4 linked regions of the Astyanax mexicanus genome follow. The protein of the gene in region 1 binds, or shares a complex with, the protein of each later gene. Links are inferred from orthologs where the notes say so. Each region holds a gene or a part of one and is shown on either strand. Other genes may lie near its edges.

Region 1 (7,908 bases):
ACATTTTATCAATTGTACACACAGTACTGTTTAACTTCTACACCAAAGTCTTTGAAATAGAAATTATCTAAAGGTTTAATTGGAACCCAGTCAACCAGGGTGTAAGGTCATTTTTAGCTATACATCCCAATACAGTAAACGGTAAATGGAAAGCAGCATAATATTAAGTTTCAAAACATCACTGGCTGCTATAAAACCAATAAAGGAACTTAAATATAATATTACTAAATGTTTTATTATTTATTAAATAAAATTCTCAATGAAAACTCTAGACTAAGACTAACTACTGATATACTTAATGCCTCAAGACTGAGCTTAATATAAGAAACAGATGAAGCCCTTCACAGTTTGCTATATTATCTATGTTTGGGGTGTTCAGTGCTTTGAGTGAAGCATGCTTTAAGGTCAGTACCACATTTTGCCACTGCACATTTCTCCCTCCTGACAGTGGGGTCGCTGGTGAAGCACCAGGGTCCAGTAGGGCTCTTGTCTGGATTCCTGCAGAAGTTCTCAGGAAGTTTCAGCTGTGTTTGATTAATCTCACTGGAATGGAAAAACAATGCATTAAAATGGATCAAAAACTGTTTCACACTTCCAGTTTTCTCAAATCATTTTGACCTTTAATTTGAAATGAAAATATAATCTGTTTTTCAAACATACAAGTCTTTATGCCTTGAATACTATTTCCATGTTTTATCAATGACAACTACAGCTGTGAAGCTCAAGAGGTCTAGAGAAATAATTATACATACATGATTCTGTGGGGGAAGTTGCTTTTCCAGTATTGACAAGTCTTTCCAGATATAGTGAGGTTAACATCACCACTGTAGTGCTCACCAGTGTTGAGATAGCAGTGATCTGTACAGCACACAATGATCAACACATATATGAATACACGGCTCTACTAACTGAAGTAGTAGAAGTTGCCTTTATAGATTTTAGAGCATCAATGTTTCTTTATCTCAGAGCATCTTCACACCAGATTCCAAATCAATGTTGATGTATTTGATACACAGACTGCATCTCCCCAGACTCATCTTCCCATTGTGTGCACGTTTCATACAGCAGTATAAGCTTAACAGATATATTTCCCTTTGATTCTTGTATTTTTGTTGTATTATCGTTTATGATCTTTTTCTGTTGTTGAATGGATAAATATAGCTTTCCTTGACCTCCTATTTGTGGTCTAAAAGTCAAAACCATCTAGAAAATAGTTTATGTAAATAGTCTGGAACGTGGTTCGCGTGTTCTGGACTAGTGTATATCTGTACAGTTTAATTGCAGCAACATTGGTAGTTGTTTGAATCAAGGACGAATCATGTCCTCACCACAAACAAACTACAGAATGCAGAGTTTACATTTTTTACATACATGTAAGTGTGAACTAATATTTTGACACAGTTATTTATACTAATATACTCTTTTCATTCTCCACAGGAAATTAATTTATTTATATATTAATTTAACATAGATTATGTGCTGTACGCTGAATCCATCTCTAAATCTTATAAAACAGGCTGGTCAAACTGGGAATAACAACCATCTGTATACAATGGGTGCATTTTTTTTTATGAAATGTTGCCCTTACCTTTTTTATTCACACACGTTCTTACTTTCGAAATATTGTCTGGAGTCCTCTTCAAAGTGTTGCCATCACAAGCTGTGGAAGAAAGCAGTACAAAATAGATCTAAACAGTGTTGAGATAATCACGGTATGTTTATGCTTGCCCTGTTTTAATGAGTTTCCTGAACTTTCACTATTGCCATCACATTGTTCCAGAAACAGTTAAAGCTAACAAAACCATAAAAAAGATGGTAATGAGATTAAACTTCTTTATTTTCATTCAATTTTATGAAATATAAACATTATTTATATAAAGTGTTCCTTACATAACATTTCTGTCATTTCTGTGTCATTTTTCAATAGCTTATTATCACTGGCCTGGAACTAATATACACACACATTAAAGGAATACTGCAACTAACAAATGCTCAGGAAGCCTAATAGTACACTGCGTTTTTGTATTGTTCTTGACTGACATTAGAAACCCTTAGATTAAATAAAGTCCAGTTTAGGACTTTGATTTGGTAATTACTCAGAAGGAAAAAAAAACACTGGGGAACACTGCACTTTGCTCCTGGTTCAATAATGTATATTTACATTTCAAAATGTGGTCACTGCTGACTTTGCTGCCTACTGGGAAGTTTGTGGTGTAATGCCTTACCTAAGTATTTCTCCCAAAACTGAACCTAAAAGAAAGAGAAACCATTTTACAAAATGTTTAAATAAAACAAAATTAATCTACCACTTTCTGGAATGGTATGTCGATGAATGCAATAAACAAGACAGTAAACAATAATGGTGTCCACACACAGGCAATTTTCCCACAAGGATTAAGCTTGAGGATTAAGTTGTAGACTACATATTTTTGAAAGGCTTAGTCTAAGACTAATTAAATCCCTGTCTGGGAAAGTGACCTTACAAATGTTATGTTGAGAAGTATTTAATTTAAACAGGATTACATACGTCACATCATGTAGCAGAATTCAGCAGTCCTTACCGTTTTGTCACTTATCTCAAACACCTCTCGAGCCTCCTCATTGCTACAGATCTCCTCCACACACTCTCGCTCCAGATTTCCCTGCTTCAGCTCCTCTAAGAGTGTGTTTGCTCTCCTTACTCGGATAACCTGAGAAGCCCTCTTACTATCGATAAAAACTGACAAAAACGTACACAAGATTAACCGTCTACCTCCACAAACCTATTAACTCTATAGACACACCATTTTACATACAATATATTTGATACCAAAAGTATTAACATGGGTTTCTCACCATCATAGCACAGTGTAAGCTGGAGCACTTGGCTGAGAAGAAGTGTGACAAGGATCGGTGCTGGTACTGCTCCCATTCTTTTACAGGGACTACTGGAATCCTGAAAAGACCTGGAACATCACTGGAGACAAAGCCACAGAGCTGCTAGCAAGCCCCCAAAAACCTTCCACTGCTGCCCTCGAGTTAATATTGAACCAGTGGAGTTCAAAGAGAACAGAAAACAGAGATTGTGTGCAAGCTCATATCACTCTGATCACTGATTCATGATTCAGCCCTGATGTTCTAGAAATATCTAAGGACACTTAGGAACATTCATTATCAACCCATAATATGATATGAATGAAATAATAATACTAAACCAGTCACCAGTCATTTTCCTAAACAAAATGGACTTATATTTGTATGAAATCATAGAATAGCAGTATGTAAATTAAATGTAAAGTATTATATCAGTGGACAGCTTGGGAATGCACACATCTGTATACGCTGTGAGGTGTTATCTTGTGAGAGTGAGCAGTGGCCATCGAGCTCATGGCAATATGGCCAATGTGAATAACTGGTGTTGGAGCGAGGCCTGATAGTGTGTGCCAGATGGATGGGACATAATATTTCTCAATCCAAAGTGTCATATGTGTACCTGGATTATGTCATATGAAGAATTATTATTCACAGTGGACAGTGCAGTGGGTGGTGCAGCAATTTAAGCTTTGACAAATGAAATGTTTTCAAAAATTCCATGACTCCCTAAAACTCCATCCAACTCTAAAATCATCCACTGCCTATGTTCTTTACTGACTCCACCACATCTTGAAGATCTGTGGTACTTAGACTGTTTCAAGCTGCATCAATAAGCAGTTAATTCAGATAGGAATTCAAATAAAACGTTAATATAGAGTTGGGCAATATGAAAATATTTCATTGCATTTCTTATCGTCTGACTTTTTTTGGGCTTTTTAAAAGAAGAGGACAAAGAACAATGACCCAACTGTACTAGTTTTAAATGTTGTCCAGCAAAAAAAAAAAACATTACTTTACTATGCATGAAACAGTACTTGATAGATAGATCTTTATGGATCCACTTGGGAAGATTTCCTCAGGGAAATTTAGATTTCAGCAGCATCATTACAGTAAAACAAGGACTACACACAAGGAAGAGATGGAAAGAATTTGCAATTTGTTTAATGTTATTTAACATACAAGAATCTGACAATGTTGATGCTTTTTGTCTTTGTGACAAAACATAGGGACAAATGATGTGATAAATGTTGCATGTTTTGAAAATGTCTTTAAATTACTTGATATCACATTAAATTTCTTCATTTCTATAATGCGATATAATTCTGATATCAATATTAACAGTATAAATTCCACCACCCGTGGTGTAAATAATCAAGCGCTGATTATTTGGTAAAAAATATTATACCATGATACTAGACTTTCACAATACACAGAGTTTTACATCCAATCAAACTGGGTTGTTTCTCTGTAATGTAATGCACATTTTTCTCAATGCTCTTTAACCACTGATGATATCCTCGATATGCTTTAAAAAAGCATATTGTCAATACAATAAGAAAATGTATACCTATATGACAAAATCTCTTGGCTCCAGCTCTACTTTAAATACTGTGACATAATATATTAATCATGATATTTCACCCCAGCTCTAATTTAATATTTCATCATTGTTATTTTTTCTTAAAAAATATAATTTAAACATGATTTGACTCATAATAAGATAACAGTATCACCAATAATCAGCATGTTCCTGACATATTCGTTACCAGCAGTGTGCCTGTTCAGATCTGGAACAAACAGTGATGACAAGGTCCAGTGGGCAGATAAGTCAATATTTACTGATGTCTCTAACGCAGATGTTACCACTGCAAAATAACCTTCAAATCAAATGACACACTAATAGTCACAATGAGCTTAACATGTTCAGTCTTGGGTGGCTGAATCGATTTCAACAGTTTCTGCCACTGAGTTAGGATCATCATGGTCCTGCATAATGACCAGGGTACTATTATTATTAATCTCTTCTTGTACAATTATGCATTTCTTATTCTCTTCATCCTCCCGTAAAACAATGCACTTAGCATTAGCTTCCAGTTCCTGAACCATGATACACTTGTTGCTGCCATTTGAAACAACAATTTCTACAATGTCCTCACTAAGCTCAATTTGTTCTGGCCCTTCTTCAAAAACTTCAGCACCTTCTCTGCAGTTCTCTGCTAGGGCTTGCACATAAACCACACCTTCCTCTTCTTCTTTTTTCTTCTTGCCTTGACAATGACCTGACTGTCCACCTCTCTTTTTAGGAGTCATCTTTTTAGGTCTACCCCTGGCTGGCGCTGCATGTCCTTTCTTAGTTATTTTCTGGTGGGACTGTAGGTGGCGCTGTAGACTCTGCATAAGCGTAAATCTGGTTCCACATGTCTCGCACTTGTGTGGCTTCTCATCCAGGTGGGACTTCATATGCCTGCGCAGCTTAGTGGCCAACGTGTACCCTTTTCCGCACTGCTCGCACTTGTAAGGCCTTTCGCCAGTGTGTAGGCGCTCATGGGCTCGCAAGGTGTGAGGGTCGCGCAGTGCCTTGCCACACACTGGGCACAGGTATGCCTCACCTGTGTGGGAAATGAGGTGCCGACGCAGCTCCGGCACCTGCGAGAAGGTTTGGTCGCAGTGCTTGCACCTGTATGGCTTTTCTCCAGTGTGAATGCGCAGGTGGCTTTGCAGATTGCCGCGCTGGCGGAAGCTCTTGCCGCAGTCGGAGCAGACGTACGGCCGCTCGCCTGTGTGCAATCGCATGTGATTCCTCAGGGAGCTCCGGTTTGCCAGCTCTTTGCCACACTTAGTGCATTTGATCTTTGGTGCTTGGTAGTCCGCTTCTTTGGCTCTGTGGATTTCCTTGTGGATTCGCAGCGAAGGCCGGCGTGCGAAAGCCTTGCCACAAACATCGCAAACAAAGGGTTTTTCACCCGTATGAAGCACCTGGTGCTCCTTGAGGTCACGTTTGAGCCCGTAGCTTCTGTCACACTGCTGGCACTTAAAAGGCCGTTGTCCACGGTGCATAAGCAAATGTGCACGGTAACTCTCCTGGGAGCTGTAGGTTTTGTCGCACTCTGTGCAAGCATAAGGCTTCAGCTCGGAGTGCGTGAACTTGTGCTTCTTTAGGTGACACAGCTGAAAGAAACTTTTAGCACACAGGTCACACTTGTAGTTCCGCTCTCGTGGGCTGAACCGTAAGAGTTCTGGTGAACCCTCCTTTTCTATCCATACCAGACCAGATTGCTTCTCATCAGAGTTAGAATTTTCAGTGAGGATTTTTTCTCCCAGAGCTGATCCACTTCCAGTGCTAGTTTCTGTAGTCAGCATCTTTTTATCAACACAGGCAGAAGCCGCATTTGTCAGCTTTGCTTGCTGTCGCCTGTGCATGCACCTGCTTAGCGAGTGGACTTTGCGAGGTTTAGCTGCCAGGCGAGGGCTGGCTCTCTCAGCTCCTTTAAGCTGTTCCTGAGAATTGGATTCTCGGATGCTGCACAGCACCCCAGGACTAGATTTATCCTCTGCTTCTTGCTGGTCATTGTCTGTTTTGTCATCCAAAGCAGTCTGTCCCAGATTACCAGTTTCCACGGTTTGAGAGGAGCGCACAGGATTATTTTTTACACTTGAGATTAGTGGCCTCTTCCTCTGAATGTTAGGATGTGTTGTTTTCTGAGCCTCTTCTGAGTTGTCAGTAGGGTCCTTCACCACTGATTCTGTGAAATACACGAAGCATATGTGATACATGTTAAAACGTCAGTCTGAACTTAGGAGGGGAACAAAAGATCCGTTTCTTTACGATTCATGGAGAATTCTATGAACTGTTCTTTTAAATGTTTTCTCCGTCTCTTAACAGCAGTTCTGAAAGGTTTGCCTAGGCCTCTTTTCCACTACATAGACAAAAAGTCTATGCATGGAGAAGGTTAACTATTCCAGTGGCTTTTTCATATAGAACTCCTACAAACTGGGCTGAGCTTAACTTTTTTTTATTTTACTGTGTCTAGCTTACCATACTTGGGGCAAAACAACCGTCCACTGGAAAGGCCTAATGATGAAATCTGCTGACTGGCCCCACATTTGTCTGTCACCTTGTGCTACAAGATCCATAGCTAACTTTCTAGCATGCTCTTTTCTAACTCTGAAATCAGTACATTTCCTGGTGCTGATTTAGCAACACAGCAAAACTAATTCTAATTAGTCAAACGGCAACTATGGCACGGCCTTATGGTACATGTCCACTTTTTTTGGCTGGCAACTTGTGGACATGTCTGCAAAGTTTTTAAAATGAAATTGAAGCAAACGAACAATGTAGATGGAAGTAGGCCATTTTTTATTTAGCAGTTCTATTATTAGTTTGATCCCATTATAATGTAATGGCTGGTTTATACTTCTGCGTTGAGTTAACGCGTTGCCTGCAGTGTAGCTGCAAGAAGTATAAATTGGCCTTATATCTGTAGGTACAGATAATTCCTTTATAAGCTTTTCCTTCTTGTTTAAAATATCTTTGATGTCCTATGTGTGATGCTGGGATGATGTAGCAAGTTACTTGGTGATGTAGCAAGGCCATACTCATTTTTCAGTGAGGCTGCTCTCATTGCAATTCATCCTTTCGTGCATCCATCAGGTAGGCAATCTCCAATTGTGGTAAAAAAATATATATATTAAAATAATACAAAACACACACTAGTATGCGGTGAATAATGTCCTCAGGCACTGTGACTAAGGAGTGGCACTCTGTATAATTTGCTATGAAAAATACTTTCAATATAACACAGTATAAAACAAAATGTAGAGGTGTGTGAGGCCTGAGGCATAATATGGTCTTTAAATTAAACACACAATTTCATGGGCCAATTTAATGCATTTTCTTAATGGCTGCCTTGCTTACACAGTCAAAGTTAAATTAAACCCAAAAGCCATGTCCCTCTAAAAGCTACTGTGCACGAACCTTCACATTCCCTTTTTGAGTCTTGTTCCATTGGGCCAGGGCATGTGGTTTTATCCTCAGTCAGCCCACATGGTGTGCTC
Region 2 (7,511 bases), on another chromosome or scaffold:
ATGATGCCTGGAAACAAATGACTGCAAACAGGAACTGTGTTAGACACAGGGTGTAATAATCATAGGTAAGTAGTTCTAAGATAACATAAATGCTTACTTAGTATGTTTAGATCAAATTTGTAACCTTCTTTTTTATTATAATAAATATATATTTTTTACATTGTAACATACTTTTTAAAAATGTTCCATGGTTATTATTTTTGGTGTGGTCAATGGAAAGTTGTATTTTTTGTATGTTTTGACAGCGACGCTGCCAGGTGCAATGGTGATCATGATCTTGACTTGTATTGAAGGGTCTTATATGCAGTTGAGTATTAGTTGAGTATTATTTAATATACACTTTCTTCAGTGGTAAATTGATCTTCCTTTTGGCTGTGTTTTTTCACGTGTTTTCACATGAGTTGACTCTGTTCTGAAAGACACATGTGTTCCCAATTTTTCCAGAGGCACTCCCCACATTCCTGGTGCCTGCAGATTTCCTGCTTCAACTCAGTTCACCAACCAGGTCTAATCCCTTACCCCAGTTTATACTCACACTGTCTGTCTTCATTCAGCAAACTGGCAGTGCTTACTTTCCCACATGATTAAGCAACTTACTGCCTGTACCAGTGAGTCATGAAGACACATGAGCTTTAACCCTTTAAACTCTTTAAAATAGCTGCACCCAGTAGGAAGTGAGGGATTTTAATGCTGTTCAGAAGGAAGAGAAAAGTTACTAAGAGCAAAAATTAAATAAAACTGATTTAAACTGATATGGGTAATATTTATTGAGCTACACATACAGAAGTAGTGTGTAACGCGCATGTTTAATGCAGCAACATGCCAGGTGTCTCAGCACAGAGTTGTAGAGGTTCCTAATGGATTTCTCTCATATCCATCCCATTCAACTTATTCCACAATATTCTCGAACACAGTTCCTACAGATTTTGTGATGGGGTGGAGTGTTGATAGAGCATCCAATAGCATTTCACACCTTTTTGAATAAGTGTAATTAATTAATTTAGGTCTTGTGATGCAGACATGTCACACTATCTGTGTTTTCCACCCCTACTGTAAAATCGGCAGGAACTGTGAGAAAACATTGAAGCTGTGGCCAGGCAGTTAAACATTACATATATTTTTTTATCCCATTTTCTCCTCAATTTACACAGCCAATTACTCAACCCACCCACTAAGACTCCCCCTTTCACTAGTGATGCCCCAACACATTTCACAGGAGAGTGAAGACTAGCACATGCCTCCTCTGATACATGTAAAGCCAGCCACCGCCTCTCCCACCTCACAGCACATTCGGAAGAAAAACTGAGCAACTCGGTTCCGATACATCAGCTCACAGATGCCTTGTGCTGATCCACGTCACCCTTTTGTAGTGATGTGGGGAGAGAGCGCCATCTACCCACCCAGAGAGAGCAAGGCCAACTGTGCTCTCTCAGGACTCCGGTAGCTGATGGTAAGCTACATGAACAGGATTCGAACTGATCATCGAACTGATCATGAGATCTCCTGATCATAGTGGTAGCGCTTAGCCCGCTGGACTACTCAAAGCCCCACAAACATTCCATTAAATAAAACTGAATACACTGGGGAGGAAAGTCCTTATGGGAAAGACTACACAGTATTGGTGAGTGTGGGTTTGGGAGGCTGAATTATCTGTTCAGTGTGCATATAAGGTAAAATCTGCCTAAATCAAGTAAGTTCAAAGTGTTGCTCCAAACTGCAACAACGCAGTGACAGTGGATCAAAACCAGGAGAGCTGAATCATGCTTCTCGACCCCTATGAATAAACACTGCAAAACTACACTGCCAAAGATTACCCCTGAGGTCAAGCTGTATTTTAACTTAGAGATTAAACTTGAAAAATCAAACACTTTAAAACTTACTTTTTAATCATTTGAGGCTCAGTTTAAACATAGAAAATTAGAATAATACTATTTATTTTTTCATTTGTCATAGTTAATAAAGTTTTTACAGTTTTCTAACAGTTTATATTGGACTGCCTATTCATCTCCAGAAATATGGTTATGTCAGTTATCAAAGCACTTATGTTGATGTTATGTAACATTATTAACAATGTCCTACAGCAAAATATTTCCAAACCATTTACACCTTACATAACTTCATGTGAAGCCTCTTTAACCCTTTAAATGGCTGCTCACGTAGTGTACAGAACTGTTGGTTCTGTGTACTGTACACTGTTAAAATTATTCTTCTAAAAACATTTTTTAAAGGTTCCTTTAAGTTGTTAAAATTGTTTGATCCTTGAGGAACATTTAGAGGTTCTTCAATTTGAAAATGTGAAGGAGGAACCCTTTGAATTGCTTTAAGCAACCATCAGGAAAAAATATTGTTCTAAAACATTTTTTTAAAGGTTTAATACCTTTCCAGAACAGAACATTAAAAGAACATTTAGCAACTAAATACAAAACTGATGTTGCAGTAATGTTATTATAAAATAATTATAAAATAATAAAATAAATAAATACAAAATATACGTTCTAAGAACATTCATAAAACTAGATTGACACTTTATTAACTTTAATTGTAACTTTTAAAAAAACCTCTAATGCAAAGATAGGTTAGCTGGATTAAGGGTTTCCTCCTATACACTTTCAAACTGAAGAACCTTTAAAGGTTCCTTAGAACAGTGTACATTTTCAGTCCAATGCATTAAGCTAGTCCATGTCCTATTCTGGGATGAGCTGAAGACACTTACGGGCAGGTCCACCGGTGAAGTTTCTTGAAGCCTGAGATGAGGCCGTGCAGAGCGAGAGGAGAACCAGGAGAAGAACCAGGAGATTAGGACGAACAGATAGAGCAGTTCTGCTGAGAGAGAGCATCTCTGAAGTTCTAGAGAACGGGTCAGGGTTCCTGAAGGCTGAAGTCCAGTGCAATTTTCAGAAGGTCCGCTGAGAAACGTGAAACCTGTTTGATTTCCAGTCCTCTTATTCTGCTTTCAGGTCTGCTTCTGGAGTTTCAATGTGTGTGTGTGTATGTGTGTGTGCACTTTCGCATGCCTTCTCTCCGCCCTGCTTCCTTTCAGGGTATGAAACATGCAGTGTGTGTGTGTGTGTCTTTATCTAGTTTAATGGCACTATATTAGCCATTTTTGTATAGTATATATACAGCCATGGAAAAAATATTAGACCACTTAATACCAAATTGAAAACCTCTGGAATATAATCAAAAGGAAGATGGATGATCACAAGCCATCAAACCAAGCTGACCTGCTTGAATTATTGCACCAGGAGTGGCATAAAATTATCCAAAAGCAGTGTGTAAGACTGATGGAAGAGAACATGCTATTTTCTGCAAATAAATGCAATATTTACAAATATATTTACAAATATATAAATTACAATATTTTTATTTGGAATTTGGGAGAAATGTCCGTAATTTATAGAATAAAACAACAATGGTAATTTTACTGAAACATATATATATATATATATATATATAAATGATAAACAGAGTGATAAGAAACCTTAGGGACACTAACAGCTCAATGATATGTGCAGAACATCCTGTGGCCACATGTGTTGCCTCTCATGACAGGGTTTTCAACTGCTTATCCAAACACAGCAAATGTTTCCCAGGAATGTCCTTGTTCTGTCCCCTCTACAGATTTATCACCAATCAAGGATTTATGGGAGGAGCTGGGATGGCAGCTCCAGCAACCTATGAGTGTAGAGTAGGATCTACAGGCCCAGCTGCAACATCTGTTTATAAATGTGCTGCAGGATGTCATATGGAACCTGTATATCTTCATGGCCAACTGTATCTCATCTTGTATCCAGGCTACAGGCTCCAACAGTGTACTATAGGCTCTTTTCATTTGTACAGTTGTCCTCAATAAACTATCCTCTTATTATAATACTGTAATTTCTCTAATATATCATCATTACATTTCAATATATAAGTTGATGTGTGCGTATGCACTTTAATCAAAAATAGTTTAGAACACCAACTTACTTGTACTAGAAATATTCAGAATGTGCACCTCTGTAACCTAATAAATTATGGCAAAAAATTCCGCACACACACATACACACACATAACTGTGCTGTTCTGTGTGAATCAGGAAAAGGTAAATACGGCAGTTGTTAGCACAGTAAGAGAGTGTTGGTGGAAGGAAGTAGCTCATTAGGGTTATTTATTGCTAGTCGTCTATGAGGAAGTGAGACTGCACCCCTGGCGGGGGTGTTGATGGTCAGGGTAATGGAAGTGTGAAGCTGTGGTCATTTCCACTGGTCAGATCAGCTTTTCCACACATTAAAAAACATATCTAGAAGTGCTAATCATGTGTTCTCTGACACTGTGTTACACCGTTATTAATACATTTGGACTATACTATACTACGTAATGAATTATCGTATTTTTCCTACTATGAAGCGCACTTAATACCCTTTCATTTTGGCAACAATTATCAGTGCGCCTTATAATCCGGTGTGCTTTATGTATGAATTATACCAGTCATGTTATAAGGAGCAGTAAAGCCACTCCACTGAAGGATAGTGTTAAACAGGAGTTTCAGTGAAGTTTCACCAGCAGCTGGAGCAGAATTAGCATTAGGCGCTAATCACAGCGCTAGTTCTTTTGTTCTTCAGAGGTGAGTGTATCGGACTGTAGCTTGCGTGTTTACCGTGTTAAACCAAGCAATGCGGAACACACAGGGTCCCTCAGTGTGGCACTGTCGGGAGGCATTTACCAGCGCTAAGCACTACTGCTAATCGTGGCTAGTGCTGCTACTAACTAGGCTAAAATACTGTAAATCTAAGCTTACTATAAGTAAATTTACTCACCCAAATAAACTGTTTTCAGGAGAGAAATCTGTGAGATTAATATCCAGTGCTCGTTTAACTGAGAAAGAATTGTTTTTATTTCTTAAGAATTACATTTTTGTTTACTTAGGTGCCCCCATCGGCAAGACCAGCTGAATTAGAAGGAAAACATGGCAACACCCGTATTCCTTACTATTGTCGCTTAAAATGTGCCTTATATAATCCGGTGCGCCTTGTGTATGAAAATAGACAAGAAAATATAGAACACATATATAATAATAGTTAATTATTAATATATAATAATAGCTGATTCTCATTTACACTTTCTTCAGCATTTTAAGTAGTTATAAAAGTGGACTTGTCATAAGTTGTTCCTCACAAGAAAAGTATGGTTCTATTTATTATATTATAAAAATTATGCCTAATTATGCCTTCAATTATATTCTGTCAGTATTGTTTACCTAAAGATAAAAGTCAAAATATTTAATATGTTTAAAAAGACAAATGATTTCAATAGGTGTCCTATTTCTTTATTTGATTGTATGTTATCTATATCTAGATAAATAGTTCTTAAACCTTTTATAACACACCACAAATTATCTAAATTAAAATGTCCAATTGCCAATTATTTATCCTCTGTTACAAACAGTGAGATGTTGCAGTGATGTAATGTAGATAAATTATTTGGCTATTAATCCTAATGCAGGCCCTACAAGACATTGATGATTTACCAGAGTTACATTGTACAGATTTTAAAAGTGATTATAAAAGTGATTTTAACCAATATTTTTGTGTATGCAACACATTGTCTGAGGTCACCAAAATGGAGATTCACACTTTTTGAGTGACGGTGATGATATGCATTCTTTGGCAGGAGGAAAAATGGGTAAAAACACCACTACACACAAAGCAAAGCCATCACCATTTCAAAGAACAAAGAACTTCAACAGCAACAGGCCAGAACTGGAAATATTAAGTGGCCAGCGCCCTCTAACGGCTCTTTGCTGAATTATTTGTGTCCCCATTTATTTAATCCTTAAAAATCTAGAGTTATGCCTGTGATTTATATTTACTAAGAAATTATTTTTTGCTTTAGTTTTGTTGAGCAGGATATTCTGTCTTAGTTTGTAGTTTAATATGCATTTTATTTTGTTTGGTTTGTTGTTTTAGGAATTACAAAAAAAATAAATTAACCCTCACCATAATGATATAAACTGTGGAAACTTGATCCATCAAATAGCTTCCATCTTTATTCAATGTGTGTGATATCTGTAAAAACATTAAACCATGGATCATGGACACGTTGGGTGTGTTTGAGTTTTGTTCATTATCCAAAAATGTTTGTCTACACTTTGAGCAACTTTAAGCGGTGAACCTTGTTATGAGGTGCATTATTAAACACATTCTGTCACACACACACATTACAAAACCTTTTTTATAAATCAAATTATAGAAAATCTTTTTTCATAAATGTTCACAAGCAAAAAACACTTACCCATACAGTCACATACGTGCTCCCATTATTCTTTGCTGTGCCTGTGATTTATATTTAGTATTTGTATTTTGTTAACAAGAATGGAAATGTAGCTGTAGTCTTGTTTAGCATGTTTTGCTGTTTTATTATTCGATTTGTTGTTTTTGGAATTAAAAAAATAATAATTAAGCCCTCACCATCATGATGTCAACTATGGAATCTTGGTGCCTTAAATAGCCCCTGTCTTCTATTAAAACACGTTAGGTACTGAAATTAGTCAATAGAAATGTTAAATGTTATCATCTGATTATAAATGATATCTGAATATATTTTTGTTGAGTATTTTTGTTTCTTTACAAAACGTGTCCAGATATTAATTTGTGTTGCAACTGCAGTTTTTTTTCCATTGTATCGTTCTGAAGAAAAATAAAAAAACGCTTGACAGTTTACTGTACAAGAACGTATTTTCACAGCGAATAAACACGTGGTTGGTGTGGTGCAGTGGATGAGACCACCATTCTGTTGGTTTTCTGTAAAATCTATAGGATTAATTGCACACAATGACCACTAGATGTCAGGCTTCTCTTTCCTTTACTGCAGAGTTAGTACACGACCTGACTGAGACCACCCTGTCATTTCGAGAAGGAAAATAATAACGTGACAAATTCGATGTGTTCGTAGAATATATGCATGTATGTGAATGTATCTGTACATGCTCTGCATGCCACCACACTGGATATGAAATGAAACAAATGATGTGCAATCGAAGTTTCAAGTTTAATTAAAGGGTAAAAAATGATCAAATAATCATGTGAAGTGTTTAGGAATTTCAGACATTATTTTACAAAGCTTCCTCATTTCTAGTGTGCAGTAAACCTAATAAAAAGCTTCCTTAAAATAACTATGCTGCCTGGTGTGGATCTTTTCTTTTCACATGCCACAATACTTCTGCTGGACTGTGAAATAAATGTGATATTCCAAGATGATAATTTCAAGATTCATCGGGCTGGAATTGTGAAAGGGTGGTTCAGGAAGCATGAGATCATTATTTTTACACATGGATTGTTCACCACAGAGTCCAGATCTTAACCCCATTGAGAATATTTGGGATGTGTTGGAGAAGGCTTTGTGCAGTGGTCAGACTCTACCTTTATCAATGCTGCAAGATCTTGGTGAAAAATGAATGCAACACTGGATTGAAATAAATCTTGTGACATTGCAGAAGCTTATCGAAACAATGCCAAAGTGAATGCGTGCTG
Region 3 (7,792 bases), on another chromosome or scaffold:
CTCGGTGATGTCATCATACAGGGAGGGGGAGAGGATTCCAGTGGTAAACTGTGCAGCTCTGATGAACTTCACGCCCAAGACGGTTAGAGAGCAGAATTCAGAACCCACCCATTTAAAATAATAAAAACTTCTGAATACTTCCTCTTTTTCTGTTCTATTTCCAAGCACTAAAAAGTTGTATCTGTGAAGATCACAGTTAAACCCTGGAATATTTATTTAATAAGTTTTAGTGGCAGAAGTAACGTATGTGGTGCGAGTCTCACCCCGAGAGTCATGCTCTGCCGATTGTAGCCGGCAAAGTTAAGGATGCTCTCAGTGGCCATCGCCAAACCAGTGTGCTGAGAAAGACCAGAAACCCAGTTCTGATGCTTATTTAGGTACTCCTGAGATAAAGAGAGAGAGAGAGAGAGAGAGAGAGAGAGAGAGAGAGAGAGAGAGAGAGAGAGAATGTAAAAATGAGTGAGAACTAAATGTATTGCCTTTTTATATCCGAGTATAAACAGTAAGAAAGTGTTTTAGGTTCAGGTGCCGCAGTGTGAACAGGCAAACTGTACCTGTAGGTGAGATTTGGTAACAGACGACGCCCACTTCATCGCTTCTTTCAAAATTTCACCACAGCGTGCAGCAAAGTCCTTTACTATACTCTAATAAAACACGACAGCAGAAAAAAATATTATTTTTATATAACTGTTACATTCTTATACATGCATACAGTATAGATATACAGTACTGTGATGAAAATCTAATCTAGCCATGAGATCCAGATTAAATCAGCACAACATTGGGGATATAGATCAGAACTTTGACTGGATCATTCTAACACATGAATATTCTCTGATTTAAATAATTCCACTGTAGCTCTGGCTGTATGTTTAGGGTCATCGTCTTGCTGGAAGGTCTCAAGTCTTTTACAACAGCTTTTCTTCTTCCAGGATTGTTCTGTGATTATCTCCGTCCTCAGGGTGAGTAAATTAAACTGAGGGAAGGACAGTTGTCAGGTTTGGTTGCTAAAACCCACACAGCTCAAATAAGAAGATTCTGAATCTCTGCATAAGTTTAATGCAAAAAGTCTTTGAATTCATGCGTTGTTCTGATTTGTCTTTTATTCTATTTTTTTCTCACCTCTCGAGCTTCATGTGTGTCCGGTACTGTAATTCTGTGAGGAGTATCAGGAATGTCATAATAAGGCTGGTCCTTGTGAATATCCTGTTCAACAAAGAACAAGAACCAACATTTAAAAAATACTTAAATACAATATTTAAAATATAAACATGTTTTCACAGTTTTAGTTTCAGAGACCCTCACCGCACTCAGAGACAGAGACAGTGTCTGCAAAATGTCCAACATAGTCTTCAGAACTCGTCCGCTCCACAGCAGGTGAGGAAACCTAAATAAATAAATAAAATAAATAAAGTATGAAACAAAGCCTGTTTAATAAATTCACTGATTCAGATTTTTTTATGAGGAGACGCACGTTTCAGCCAATCCTGAAAGATACTTGTCAGCCACTCGTCGAATTCTCTTGTGGGTGTGGTTAAAGTTGACCAGTAAGAACTGTGCGTGGCGTTCCAGCTCCTCCTCATGCTCTTTAGTTTTTGGCTATAAAACAAAAAGACACTTTACTAAAATATATAATAATAAAATACAACCTCCTGCAGATGCTAATACAGTTAGGCCCATAAATTAAAAATACATTTTGTAATTAAAGTTCAGACTTTCAGGAGTTTTTAGGAACTACAACCATTTTTCTATAAAAAAAATCATTTCAGGAGTTCAAAAGTAATTGTACAACTAATTTCAGAAGCTGTTTTATGGGCTTCCTGGTCCATTCCCTAATTAATCCATCATCAGTTAAGAGTTTATTTCAGGTGTGTTATTTTTATTTGGAAGCTGTTGCTGTAAACCGACAACATGCAGTTAAAGACGCACCAATGCAAGAGAAACAGATTATTAAACTGATAAAAGAAGAATTAAAAAATAACATGATCTCAGCAAAATGACTTTATTACTCTGCCATATTAAAATTAACCTGTGGTTAATACCAGTAAGAAAAACATATTCCAGGTAATTAGCATTTTTATATTAATTCATAATTCAATCAAATCATATTTATTTATATACTTTTTGTATACTGATGATGTCACAAAGCAGCTTTACTGAACAAAGAATCCGAGAAAACACTAAATATATAATAAAAAACCTCCAGTGAGGGACGGATAACCTGAGCTCACCTTTTCTGCCATCATCTGGAGAAACACCTCAAACACTTTGTCGCCAACACAGATCACACACTGCATCATCCCTACAGTCCAGGAGAATCGCAGAGAAACACAGAGATCAAATACAGTGTTTTTATATTAAAGATTAAAGATAAAACTGCTCTCTTTTCTTCTGACCTGACTTGTCCTTCTGTATGGCCTTGTCCTCAAAATATCTGAACATCACCTGGAACCTGTCCGCATCGTTCGAATGCAGCATCCTGAAGCAGAAAGTTCAGAAAAATTATCCAAGTTGTGGGAACAATTAGTAGTTGATCAATTAAAACCAGAAATCTATTATATGAGTTTTATCATTTAATTAGTCAGATTTTGCTTCTTCTGTTTATTTGTTATATGATACATTTAACTGAAATCGCTGATCCAAACAACCAATGATTTATAAGGAAAATCATGAAAATGATCAGGAGTTCCCAAACATTTCATACCACTGTAAATATTATGGGATGCCCTGTGACCCCTGACTCTAATAATCAGGTGATTTACATGTGAGAAACTCTACAGTAGTGTAGTACCTCATGTACTCCAGTCTGTAGACGGACAGCAGGTAGGTGCACATGGCGAAGTCCAGTTTGTTAATGAGAGCCGCAGCTTCCGGCGCCGGATCCAACAGATTAATTATGGTGCTGCGCAGATCGTTCAGCTCCGCCTACAGAAAAGCCATTCAAAAACAGATACTGAAATTGTAATAAACCAGAAACTGGTTTACTTAAGGGGTTTAGATACAACACCCATATATTTAAGGATTAACACATTTTAACTTGAGGCTTCAGTGGTACAGTAAAAATAATGTTTTTATACATAAAGAAAAAAAATCATTTTAACAGGTAAATCATGTTTTTGGAACTTTTTTTAAGGATTTGGAATTTACACTTTAATCTAACAAATACTTCATCAGTATTGACTGACAATCTTGACTGATAAAAAAACTGTAAATGAGAAAAAACTTTTCTAGCAGCACCTGAAAAAAGTATTAAAAAAAGATAATTTATAGAGTTATGACGAGATCGCGTACTGCGAAATTAAATCAGCACATTATTCTCATCAGGTGTAAAATGAGTCTAATGAGACCCACACACCAAAACACAACACAGAGATGCAGCCATGACCGATAGGGGTTGCCAGTTTAAAACAGAACCCTCACTGGGGGGATTCTAACAAGGGCTGAAAAGACTGATGGGTTTATATGATATATAATTCAGAATCTAATACAACCTGCAGTTGGTGAATTTTAATCATATATTTTAAATGAAAAAATCTCGTCTCATTCTCATGAACCCAACGTATTATTTTGTCTCGTCTTGTGAGCTGAGTGTCTCGTCACACCTCTAGTTATTCACCATTTTTTATCTTATGGAGAATTACACTTTCTATTGCTTTATTTCTTTGCTACAGTGTGGATCTATCAAAACCTGACTTTTAAATAATAAGTGATTTTGGAAAAACTTTTACAGGGAAATTGATGCATAAGCTCATATTACGGGTAAATTTAGCCCCTGATGAAGTTCAGGGCACCTGAGTCACAGTGTCGTTCTTCAGGGCGGAGTTGTACTGAAGCTCGGAGCGTAGCGGCTCTCCGCTGGGGAACGTGAGCAGCGGCGACTTCGTAGCAATTTCACAAACCCCCTCATACCACTCCTCAGGCCACAGTCCTACATTACACAAATTATTCCATAAATTCATAAATTCTCATTCATATATAAAACAATATATAATAATAATATATATATATAAACTAAATAACTGCAGTCTGGAGAGTATAGTGTTCTGATCTTCTTACCGGAACCTTCTACAGCGAAGCCCATGACCACCGAGTAAAGCCAAAAATCCCTGAACAGCTTCTGAAGGCGGGGCTTAGCCTCTTTAATGGGGGGCAACCGCCGGGTCAACTGTAAAAAAAAAACACACAGACACATATCATACATCTATTTCTCACAATACATATATTAATCAAGCAAAACATTATGACCACCGGCTTCTTTCTCCACCAGTTATCCATTTTTCTGCTCCAGATAGGAAACTTGGTTGTCAGGTGTTGGTGTGTGTGTATCATGGTGGTGGTGTAAAAAACACACACACACACACACAATAACACCTCATACACCATGCTTATCACTGCAGTGCTGAGAATAACTACATACCACCCAAATAATAATAACATTAATGATAATAATTAAAATAAATAAATAATAATAAAAGCTGTATCTCTGTAGTGGTTTTCTATTCTGTAAATTCTGAGTTTTAAAGAAAAAAAATAAATATACAGAGAAACACAAAAACAACAACAGTCTGGAGTTATTATACAACTACAGAGTGAAATATATGATATATAAGTGGATAATGCAAGTTATGCTTGGATAAATGTTATTCTTGATTGGTGTCGGTTTATGCTAAATGGTTAAAAATGTGATTTATCAGCTGTGTGCAGTGAAGGAGTTAAAGCAGGGATGGTGGGGATAAAGCTATGGGTGCTGCTACTCTTTGAACTGGACAGTGTTTGATCAATGAAAGCCAACGTCAAAGTCCAAAAGTAGGATTTGGTCACAAACAAACGGAGTACACAGACAGATTGATCAGAGAGACAGCAGGTAAGTGGGAGAGGGATTTTTTTGTTGCTGTGATATTTTGTCTTATTTCCATTGTTTTACACAGTTTATTTAAAATATAAACGCAAATTATAACTGCCTTATTAAAAAAACTTTACATTCACTCTACAATTGTGTTCATAAGTTTACATACCCTGGCAGAATTAGTGATTTTTGCTCATTTCTCAGAGAATAGAAATAATAATAATACATAAACTTTTATGAAGTGGGAGTTTTGGCATGCTAACACACACAGGTTGACACACATGGGTTAAAATGACGGCTAATGGTAACTTTAGCCACGGAGAAAGCATAAGAATTATAGCATCTGCAGAAGAATATTTTATATTCTTATAATATATATATATATTATAAGAATATATATATATATATATACATATAAAGCAGGAAAATGATATAGTATTAGGAATGTTAATCAGCAGTGTTTAAACTCTAAATACTTAATGAAGTGGAAAATGTGGGATGGTGTTGAAACCAAGTCAGGCAGATCAACAAAACGTTTAGTCACAGCTGCCAGGAAAATAATTCAGGATGCAAAAAACCCAGATAACAAATAAATCAGCTAACATACAGGACTCTCTGAGAAAGAGCTCTGTTTCAGCGTGACCAATAGGAAACATGGGCCGCAGGGTCGAGTCGCCGGAAGAAAGCCATTACTACACCAATTCCAGCTCGCTTACAATAAACTCACCTGGAACTGAGCCTCAACATTTCAAACCAACCATAAACATTACAGAGGAGCCAAAAGTCCTGTTCAGGGCAGTTTTAAGACATTTGGGGGCCCCAAGCAAAATGGATCCCACCACATCAAATTCTTCATAAAATGTATATTTATATTTATTACACAGACTTACTACTTGTAACTTAACATATTAGATATGCATTCTGAATTCCCATACGCATGACGCTGCACGACCACATAATGAATACCGGCGTCTGAATGGGAATCGCGTTTAACACAGACGAGACGTGAGAAGCAGGACTACGTGATCCGTAGTGGTCAGTAGTGATGCCCTGTGTTTAAGCCCGTAAGGGAAAAGGCCTCGCGGACGGAAGAAGCGGTGGATGAACCGAATAAGAGAAGATATACGACACGCCAGCTTCGCCCCTGAAGACACTTTGGATCGAACCAAATGCGTCAGGCATCCAAACACAGACCCCTTTTCTCCGGCTGCTTTGTTCATCATTCTAACATACTCCCCCCCCCCCCCCCCGTGAAACCAGCAGTGAAATACAGATCTATAAAGGTATTTGTTAGCGTTGCTGGAGACGCATGAGCACGGCTGAGCTCGTGGCATTGCACCGCTGTCGTAAAAAATTAAATAACATTATAATAAATAGCGTCGGATAACGTTGAAGTGTAGTTCAAACAGAAAACACCATAACCACCATCTTTACTGAAATGTTATATTGTTGTTCGACCAATGGTGAAGTTAAATGTGCTGTGTTTCGAGTTCAGACAGAGCGCAGCTACAAATATGAATTCAAATCATAATCATTCGTCCCTACTCTATAACATGGAGGTGGATCATTAATGTTTTGCGGATGTCTGCGCTACAGAGGCACCTCTTACCATGAATAAATTAATATTTTCGGTATTATCATTCAAAGTCTCTGACAAATAGCCAGAAAATAACTTATTCTGGAAAAGGTAGGTGAACTTATGAGCACAACTGTGTGTGATGCAAAAATCTCAGTAACTGTCCTGTTATAAGTCTATTGTTTTCTGCATTTCCTCAGGGATGTGGGTTCTCTCAGTCGTTGCGCTAGGCTTTCTCCTAGCCACTCCAGCTCTAGGCGGGGTGAAGGACCTCAGTTCACACTTCAGCACTCAGGAGACGGAGAAAGATGGCAACAAGCCTGTGGATCCCCGAGGGTTTTCACAAGGAGGTGAAGACCTGAACATTGAGTCTATTCCTCTGGACTTCCATCGGGAGAACACGGTCACTAATGACCTGACCCTGGAGGGCTTGGAGGAGGAGGACTACATTGATTTTGATAAGATCCTGGCAGGAGGTGACGATGATTACACCGAAGGTGACGCCATAGATGAGATCTCCACTCCAGCACCAGGCCTTGATCTCATGTCTGAACCGTCAGACCCCAAAGTACGAAGGGCACGACTCCTGCGCCTCTTCCACAGTCGGACGAGGCTACAGCGCATCAACGTGGTCAATTCCCACTTCGGGTTCCGCCTCTACCGGAGTATCCGCAACCAAATGAACCAGACAGATAACATCCTGCTGGCCCCTGCTGGAATCTCCATCGCTATGGGAATGATGGCTTTAGGTACAGGTCCATCCACACATGAGCAGCTCTATCACGCACTGGGCTTCAACGAATTTGTTAATGCGAGCAGCCACTACGATAACTCCACCGTGCACAAACTCTTCCGAAAACTCACACATCGCCTCTTCAGGAGAAACTTCGGATACACCCTGCGCTCTGTAAATGACCTTTATGTGAAGAAGAACGTTAAGACCAAGGACGGCTTCCGCAGCGAGGCGAAAGCGTACTACTTCGCTGAGCCTCAATCGGTGGACTTCACAGACCCCAAGTTCCTTACGAAGGCAAACCAGCGCATTCAGAAGATTACCAAAGGGTTAATAAAGGAGCCACTGAAGAGTGTTGATCCCAACATGGTGGTAATGCTTCTAAACTACCTCTACTTTAAAGGTAAATCAAATAAAAAAATCAACTGGTTTAATTGACAGCCCCAATGAAAAAAGTCTAAAAACAACTGTAGGTGATCTGCCAAACTGAGAACCCTCTGAGTGCGTCACAATATTCTAATAATAATGTTTGAATAAGAGTCCCAGGCAGAACTTTAATGGAAGAATAGAGATTTGGGGAGGTTAACGCCAGCTGTTGGTGTAAAATAACAACCTTCTTAAACTTAATGGAACCTGT
Region 4 (7,898 bases), on another chromosome or scaffold:
CTCTACTGCACATGCTCAGTCCCCAGGCGCAAGTATAACCAAGATGGCAGCTTTTACTTCAGCCATCTTTTGGCTTTAAACCTTTGCAGTGGAAATGAACAGAAACACTTTCTTTACTTGTAGAAAACTATAGTTCACATTATGCACAATTTTAATTTGTTTTGAATTTGATCTTTTTATAATTCACATTTTTTTTATTTAAAAAAATATTTATTTTCACTTGAAACATTGTCAGTTTACTTTGTACTATTTAAGTTCACTGGATTTTGGGCCATTTCATATTATATCCATGTAGAAAAGAGACAGATGAATATACTTTTTTCCATTTTTTCCATTATCTTTTTTTTTTATTTTTTACAATATATATATATATATTTTTTTTTACTATTTCCATTTTTTAGAATATACATTCTTCTATTTTTACAATATACATGTATTTGATTTTTTTAACAATATATGTTTTATACAATATGCACTTTTTTATTACAATATACAAAAAAACACCTAATTTTTGTACCTTTTAAGTTCACTGGATGTTTTAACATTTCAGGTCATATCCTGAAACTCCTGAATATCCGAAACTTTTAATAATCTAAAGACCTAAACGGAAAATTTGAACTATGTAATGTACAATTCAGTTTAAATGTATTTATCAAACGCTTTATGTGTGCAGGCTTTAAATAATTTAGCAAATATTTTATGAACAAATTGTGCATAAATGCACCCCAGGTATGATTAATATTTAAAATTATTATGTAATTTATACTACTATCCAAAACTACTTCAATAAAGGGTGATTTAAAAAAAGAAGCAATATCTGACCCAAATGTTAACCCCCACAAATATACACAAAGTTACCACAGGGAAAAGGGACAGTATTTTATTTAATTATTGGAGTAAGAAGGTCATGGTTTTGTTGTTTTATAAGGTGGTAATGTGTCATCACGCTTTTGGAACAGCACTGTACTCTTTCTGTTTGCAGTTGCAGAGAATCAGAGAAAACCGCTGTTATACTTCAGTTCATGCTGTTTTCACTCTGTTGCTGTTTTGGTGTGTCTAAAAACCTATATTTAGAGAATGGTTTTATGCGTAATTAGAATTTCGTCATTCTGGCTGGGTGTGCTTTTCCTGTTTACAAAAGACAAAGGTTTTTCCTACAGTACAGTCCGGATGACAGCTGACTTTCATTAACACGGGCCTGAACTAAAATGGGAATGCCCAGCTATTACACACTCTGCCGTATAAATAAGTGATATCAAATATTTAAGAATGTTTTATTATTTAATGTTATTTCATGTTAATATTTGACTTTTGTGTGATGTAGACAGTCTGAATTCAATAAATTGCAAGTTTTATCTGCCCAACTTTTTTCATTTATTATTAATATACAGTACTTGTCAAAGCTTTGGGCACACCTTCTCATTCAGTGTTTTTCTTTATTTTATTTGTATTGTATTTATTTTCTACATAGTGGATTAATATTAAAGACATGAAAACAATTACGGGACAAATAAGGAATTACATATTAAACAGTAAAAAAAAGTGTTTGTCCTCCACAATCCCCTGATCTAAACTGATCAACTGAGATGGGTGAATTGTATTGTTCAGCACCTCCAGGAACTCCTTCAAGATGCTGGGAAAAATATTCCAGGTGATTCTCCCTCATGAAGACACTGAGAATAAAATACCAAGAGTGCAGATCTGTCCTCAAAAATAAATGTGCTACTTAGAAGAACCTGCAGTATAAAACATATTCTGGTTTGTTTAACACATTGTCTAATTCCACAAGTGTTTCTGTATAGCTTTAATGTCTTTAATATTAAATTGATACTGTAAATCTTCTTGTAAATGTATCATCTTCTGTGCTTTTGTTCCACTTTAAATTTTGTCACTATATTTAGACTATATTTTCCACCTTAAATGTTGATATATTCCCACAATCACCAGTGCCACCATAATGCTGTTGTCATATTCACATAATCAGATTATTTCCACTTTATATGCTGCCACTAGTATAACACAATCACACTTATTCCATCTTAAATGCTACCGCTATATTAAGACAATCACACCAACACCAGTTTATGTAATGTTTTTGTTCCACCTTAAACAGCAAAGCTGTTACAGGTGCATGGACTAAACCTTTAAGGTGATAAGAAGCTGAAAGCTGGAGAATAAACAGCTGTGCTGGCTTCTTTTTCTTCTATTCCACCATAAGTGCTGCTGCTGTTACATTAAATAGTGTTTGACAACTGCATATTAGAATTTTCTGTTCCACCTTAAACAGTAAAGGTGTGAAGGAGCTGTTCTATTTCTGTTATAGTTATTCCACCTTAAATTGTACACCTGCCTGGTTAAACGTGTCAATATTGGCATGTATTTCGAACATGAATCTCTGGCAGGTTAAAGTAGGAACTATGTGAGGAGAAGTGTAGAGGCAGTACATGACTGTAATTATTATACCTCTCCTATATCATCTTAATTACATTTAACTATATCTACTATATATAGCTTCAGAAATTCTCACATTTTGGCTCACAAAGTTCAGGTAGGAGGTTCAGAATCTTGCTTAGGGCCCTACGGAAGTGCAGACTGGCACTGGAGGAGCCTTAGGTTAACTTCTCTGGGCTTGGAGGCATCTGGGATGGACCATCACACAGTGGAATTGAACACCATGGTCGGATAAATCAGCATTTTAGAAGAAATTCATCCAGAGAAAAAACATCCAGACTGTTATCAGCAACATGTGGAACATGTGCAACATGGTCTGTCATGCTATGGGGTGGGCCAGTACATTTCTGTGATGCAGCATTAATGCTGATAAAAACACACAGAGATATATTAAGGCTCATGATGTTTGGAAATGCCTAATATATTAAATTCAATGCTAAACAGGGTCATTTTTATTAAGAGTTAGAAATGCAATGATTGGTGCTGCAGTGTAGTATTTCAAAGTGTTTGACAGGGAAGCACCTCACTCTGCTCAGTTTAATGGAATTATTTCAAGGCACTGTAAATGTTTATATACAATGTGAATGCAAGGCCTCTACTTAACACTGGCTGCACTGCAGTTTGTCTAGTAAGTGTGATGTTTTGACAGTAAAAGTCCAGTTTGTGTAAGTTGCACTGCAGTGTAGTTACTTCATGTAATGCAGATGGTTTGTTCCAGTCAATGCTCTTTATTAATTACTTCATTCCTATGTTTAACTCTGCCTTCTTTTGATATAGCAAAATATTATTTAAAATGTTTGAAAATTATTTTTGGGGCATCGAAGGAAAGATGAGAAAATGTTCTTGTGTCATGAAAATACTGTGCTAGGATAATGGCCTGTGCTGAGAGTGTGATTTAAGCTCATTTATTATGCCTAATCAAATAAATGTGATCCTTTTAAAGGCTCTCCAAACTTAGTGCTCATCCCCAATTGGTAGGTGCTGAGATTTTTTATGTTTTACTTCTTAAAGGTTTACTTTTTTTTACTTCTTCAAAAAAATGCACAAGAAGCTTATTAAAAACCACTGTTTACTTCCTGTGCTGCTAGCTTTAAGCTCCATGCGCCACCATCATTGTACTGATATGATAGACATATATACATAAATTCTGCATAGCCTGCCTCCAGTGTTGTGCGTGAACGAGTTCAAAAGAAAGCGTTCATTGAACACGCTCATTTTTTTGTGAACATTGAACTGAACGCAACACATTTTTTAATAAAGAACTTGAACGTGAATTAGTTCACATTATGTGTCATGAACGGCAGACATCCCTGTAAATGAACGTTAGCTAGAGAGCAGAGCGAGAGAGAGAGAGAGAGAGAGAGAGAGAGAGGGCAAAAGAGAGAGAGAGAGAGAGAGAGAGAGAGAGAGAAAGACAGAGAGCGGAGCGCGAGGGCGAGAGAGAGAAAGAGCACGGGGCGAGAGCGAGAGAGAGAGAAAGAGAGAGAGAGACCAACGGCGAGAGCGTGCGGCGCGAGGGCAAGAGAGAGAGAGATACAGAGAGAGAGAGAGAGAGAGAGAGAGAGACCAATGACTGTAGTGAGAGAAAGCGCTGCAATTTAAAAAAAAATGGCTAGTGGAAGTGATGGCACGGAGACAGTCACCGATTCCTTATGAACATTTTCATCACCTGGTAAGAAACCCACATTGCAGTATCATGAGCAAATGTCTACAATGAGCAGTTTCAAAGAACATATAGTGATTCCTAGCTTGTAGTGTGAAAAAAGTTTTTTTTTTTTATATCTCACGAAAAAAGTAAAATGAACTAAACTTTGAACTAGTTCAGAATTAAAATTGTGAACTTTGAATGTGAACTGTTCACTTTGAGCATGTATGAAATGAACTTGAACTAGTTTAGAAAAGCTGTGAACTGGAACAACACTGCCTGCCTCCTGGTGCCGGATGCTACGATATGCGGAATCTATGTATATATGTCTGTCATTATCAGTACAATGATGGCGGCGCACGAAGCTGAAAGCTAGCGGCACAGGATGTAAACAGTGGTGTTTAATAAGCTTCTTGTGCACTTTTTAAGTTATTAATGCCTTGTCAGGGCTCTAGACAGGTGGTGTTAAGTTACTTTGAGCTTGGATAACTATGTAAAAAGCGATTTATCAGGGCAAATTATGCCCTAATATGGGCAAAAAGTACAAAATTACTGGATCCCAGAAAGCTGTGGGAGAGCGATGGTGAGCTACTCGATAAAGGTAAATACTTTTTATCATGTTTTGCTTCACCAAAAGTCCTTTTACACAGAAGTGTAAGTGTAAAATCTTACCGCAGTGTGTGGAGTATCCGCGCGCTCAGATTCAGCTACTGTGGGCGGAGCCGCAGCTCTCGGGGGGCGGGGCCATTCGGTCAGACCCCGACCAAAATAAACCGGGAGGCGGCTCCAAAATAACGCGCAGTCTGGAGAGCAGATCCAGCGCCTTATTACACACTCATACACTCACACACACCCTCTCACACACACCACATATATACTCACACACACACCAACTCACTAACTCACACTTACACGCCCTCTGGGAGCAGCAGTGTACCGTCTGCCTGTTTTCCTCCAGAAGAAGGTAGGAGCGCTTCAGTGGAACAGTTTTTTATACTGAATTATTTGCTTGTTTAACAGTGTAAATGCTCTAAACTGTTTTTACGTGGCTCGTGGATGCTTCTTGTGGTGCGAGTTGCCTGGAGGGTTAAACAGAGTTAACTGTAGGGTATAAGCAGTTGTTCTGGTGGTGTATTGTACTGTAAGGGCAGACTGTTTATGTCTGTTTATGAGTGTTATAGAGAACACTGTGTTTACTAAAGTGGGATTTTATACACACACTTGATATAAAATATAAGAACTTTAAGGGTCTCTATAACCTGTTTACTGTAATTATGAGTATTGCTACTACTACTACACTGCTGAAATAAACAGCATGGCTAGTTAAAGCTGGTTGAGCCAGATGATCAAATCAAATTACATTATGTACATATTTATATAGCTCTTTTTACAACTGATGTTGTCACAAAGCAGCTTTACAGAAATGTGGTAGTAAGGAAAATCAGAAAAAAGAGCAACAGAGGCAAGGAAAAACTCCCTCAGAGCTGGAGGAGGAAGAAACCTTGGCAGGAACCAAGACTTACATGGGCCTTGTACTATCACATATTATTAAGGGTAATTTATATAAGGAGGGACCCATCCTGTTCTGGTCAGACAGCTTATAAATGAATGTTAAAAGAAGTCAATAAACATCCAGGGGGTGAAGTTGTTAGAAAATTCCTAATTAGAGTTCATATGAACTTTGATGTAATCATTAGTGAAGAAGAGTGAGCAACTAGTTTGAGGCAGGTGACATAACCTGGACGGTGGGCACTTCCAGAGACTTCCATCTATCTGGCCATACAGGTGACATGAGAATCTGAGGGTCGAACATTCATTAGTATGTCAATGAACCACTGAATCTGCAGCCTTTGAGGAAGAGGAAACATTAATCTCCAAAAGCTAAACTAATCAGGTATGATTTCAGTCTAGATTTGAGATTAAAGATTGAGACTGTGTCTGAGTCCAGAACATTTTTGGGAAGGTTATTACAGAGCTGAGGGACTTTATAAGAGAATTTTTTTCTCATGCAGAACTCCTCTAAAATTTTAAAACTACTAGTAAACCAGCACCATGTCTGAGTTATTGTGCGAGTTTAGGAATTACCAGCTTAGCTCTTGACCAGTATAGGGTATGTTGGATTTGAACCTGGTCAAGCTAAAACTAGCTAGATAACCAGTTTGAAGAAGCATAGATAAGCATGACCAACATCAAATTCAGCATACCCTCTGCTGGTCAAGTACTGGTAACTATCTAGATTATCAGTATAGGGTAGAGATGGGACCAATATGCAGTGTTGCAATATATTATATCGCCTGCAGTGAAGAATGTTGGCTGTTAAATTCTGTGACACTAATAAATCAATAATTCCTGGTATACGATTATTAAGGAGTATTTTATCCTCTTCAGTAACACAGATGCTGCAAAGTATCGCAGAGAATTGTCTTGTAATATTATATCGAATATCACAGAATCACAGTATTACGATAATATTGTATCATGAGATGCCATGAGATTCCCACCTCTAGTATAAGATGGAAATACAGACTCAGCATATTAAACAAATGCATGACCTGGAAAATGTTTTTCTGGTATATGTATACATACATTGTAATCATAATGTGAAAATGTGCCATAGTCGCATTGCGGGACATGCAATATAAAGTAAGATACATTTTATTAGATGCAGAGTTTTTTTGCTGCTTGATGCAAAAGGAGAAATTGCTCTCTCAATATTGATACATACATGATACAGCTACCAAAAGGTATGTATTATATCTGCCCAAAATAATAATTTGTACTCCATTCTTTTATAAACAAAGTGCATTTTTAACATTTTGACATTTTAGATTATTGACTCCTGTCAATCCTGTACATTTTTGGTAAAAAATATTGTATTTATTTTAATATAGCAATATATATCACAAAATAGAAGACTTTTGCAATGTCAGTTTTTTGCAATACCCTGCAATATTGCTTCTTTAACTATAAATAAATGTCTCTCTCTGTGTCTCTCTTACACACACACACACACACAGCTGAATAAATTCCACAGCTGCACGGCAGTGTGACAAGAAACCCAATAGCCAAAAAAGGGGGTAATGTCCAGAAAAGTGTGTATGTGTGTGTGTGTGTGTGTGTGTATGTGTGTGTGTCATTGGATTTCTTTTGTAGGTAGTTGTTGGGTGGCTGCTGTAGACCAAAGTCTGAAAAGAAAGCGGTGGGGAGAGAGAAAGTGCTTCCAGGAATAATAATGAGGAGAGATAGAGAGAGAGAAAGAAAGATAGAGAGAGAATGTGTGTGTGTGTGTGTGTGTGTGAGAGAAAGAGAGACAGTATAAAAGTAAGAGGTAGAGAGATATTCAGAGAGACAGAAAGAAAATGTGAAAGAGAATAAAAGAGAGAGAGAAAGTTTGTGTCTGTGAGAGTGTGTGAAAGAGAGAGAATGTGAGAGAGTGTAAGAAAGAGACAGAATAAGAGTGAAAGTGAGAGAGATTCAGAGCGAGAGAGAAAGAGTGAAACAGAATAAGAAAGAGAGAGTAAGCACAGAAGAAAGGAGAGAAGAAAAGTAGACTCACATCGTGGATGAGGGAAGTGTCCTTCTCAGAGGGGGCGGGGCTTTATTGCTCTTTATTAGACGGGTTTATTGCTCTCAGACAGAGGCTAATTGAATAGCTGTGAATAGACTGTGACCTCAGCAGGGAAAGAGAGTGTGTGTTTGGGAGAGATTGGACGGCGCTGTGGGTTTGGGAGGGTTTAGACTGTGTTAGTCAGAGGACACAGGGTTGCAGGGATTGTTTAGTTAAAGGGAAAACCTGTGGCTG

The links.
Region 2: the proteins of f2 (region 1) and si:ch211-132p1.2 are in contact, whole or in part, in a crystal structure (PDB 2PV9), measured with the Mus musculus proteins. The link is inferred for Astyanax mexicanus from reciprocal best matches to the Homo sapiens genes F2 and F2RL3. Residues at the interface, in NP_034298.1 of Mus musculus: Glu385, Leu386, Leu387, Cys388, His403, Tyr407, Trp410, Asp411, Arg428, Arg453, Glu454, Asn455, Leu456, Trp501, Gly502, Asn503, Trp508, Thr510, Gln516, Arg538, Ile539, Asp559, Ala560, Cys561, Glu562, Gly563, Asp564, Val585, Ser586, Trp587; in NP_032001.2 of Mus musculus: Asp54, Lys55, Pro56, Asn57, Pro58, Arg59, Gly60, Tyr61, Pro62, Gly63, Lys64, Cys66, Asn68, Asp69, Ser70.
Region 3: the proteins of f2 (region 1) and serpind1 are in contact, whole or in part, in a crystal structure (PDB 1JMO), measured with the Homo sapiens proteins. The link is inferred for Astyanax mexicanus from reciprocal best matches to the Homo sapiens genes F2 and SERPIND1. Residues at the interface, in NP_000497.1 of Homo sapiens: Lys384, Ser385, Pro386, Gln387, Leu389, Leu390, Cys391, His406, Cys407, Tyr410, Pro412, Trp413, Asp414, Lys415, Leu423, Arg425, Ser430, Thr432, Arg433, Tyr434, Lys440, Ile441, Ser442, Met443, Asn458, Leu459, Lys470, Trp511, Ala513, Asn514; in NP_000176.2 of Homo sapiens: Glu75, Asp76, Asp77, Asp78, Tyr79, Leu80, Leu82, Ile85, Phe86, Asp89, Asp91, Val305, Glu306, Met307, Thr308, His309, Gln327, Asp343, His361, Lys362, Arg388, Thr457, Val458, Gly459, Phe460, Met461, Pro462, Leu463, Ser464, Thr465.
Region 4: the proteins of f2 (region 1) and serpine2 are in contact, whole or in part, in a crystal structure (PDB 4DY7), measured with the Homo sapiens proteins. The link is inferred for Astyanax mexicanus from reciprocal best matches to the Homo sapiens genes F2 and SERPINE2. Residues at the interface, in NP_000497.1 of Homo sapiens: His406, Tyr410, Pro412, Trp413, Trp455, Arg456, Glu457, Asn458, Leu459, Glu509, Thr510, Ile542, Asp562, Ala563, Cys564, Glu565, Trp590, Gly591, Glu592, Gly593, Cys594; in NP_006207.1 of Homo sapiens: Val225, Arg288, Ser355, Ala356, Thr358, Thr359, Ala360, Leu362, Ile363, Ala364, Arg365, Ser366, Ser367.

The regions. Positions count from the first base shown.
Region 1 is NC_064430.1:14,447,538-14,455,445, reverse strand, and holds the start of f2 (prothrombin), read right to left. Parts: upstream 3,010-7,908; 5' UTR 2,912-3,009; coding exon 2,836-2,911; intron 2,720-2,835; coding exon 2,562-2,719; intron 2,251-2,561; coding exon 2,226-2,250; intron 1,661-2,225; coding exon 1,589-1,660; intron 859-1,588; coding exon 753-858; intron 544-752; coding exon 413-543; intron 1-412. Other genes in the region: znf408 (zinc finger protein 408), read right to left, coding at 4,777-6,596, 7,829-7,908. UniProt on the Homo sapiens protein: Thrombin, which cleaves bonds after Arg and Lys, converts fibrinogen to fibrin and activates factors V, VII, VIII, XIII, and, in complex with thrombomodulin, protein C. Functions in blood homeostasis, inflammation and wound healing.
Region 2 is NC_064417.1:33,611,866-33,619,376, reverse strand, and holds the start of si:ch211-132p1.2 (proteinase-activated receptor 4), read right to left. Parts: upstream 3,018-7,511; 5' UTR 2,838-3,017; coding exon 2,714-2,837; intron 1-2,713. UniProt on the Homo sapiens protein: Receptor for activated thrombin or trypsin coupled to G proteins that stimulate phosphoinositide hydrolysis. May play a role in platelets activation.
Region 3 is NC_064419.1:52,598-60,389, reverse strand, and holds the start of serpind1 (heparin cofactor 2), read left to right. Parts: upstream 1-4,786; 5' UTR 4,787-4,864; intron 4,865-6,622; 5' UTR 6,623-6,624; coding exon 6,625-7,558; intron 7,559-7,792. UniProt on the Homo sapiens protein: Thrombin inhibitor activated by the glycosaminoglycans, heparin or dermatan sulfate. In the presence of the latter, HC-II becomes the predominant thrombin inhibitor in place of antithrombin III (AT-III).
Region 4 is NC_064425.1:38,394,528-38,402,425, reverse strand, and holds the start of serpine2 (glia-derived nexin), read left to right. Parts: upstream 1-4,886; 5' UTR 4,887-5,060; intron 5,061-7,898. UniProt on the Homo sapiens protein: Serine protease inhibitor with activity toward thrombin, trypsin, and urokinase. Promotes neurite extension by inhibiting thrombin. Binds heparin.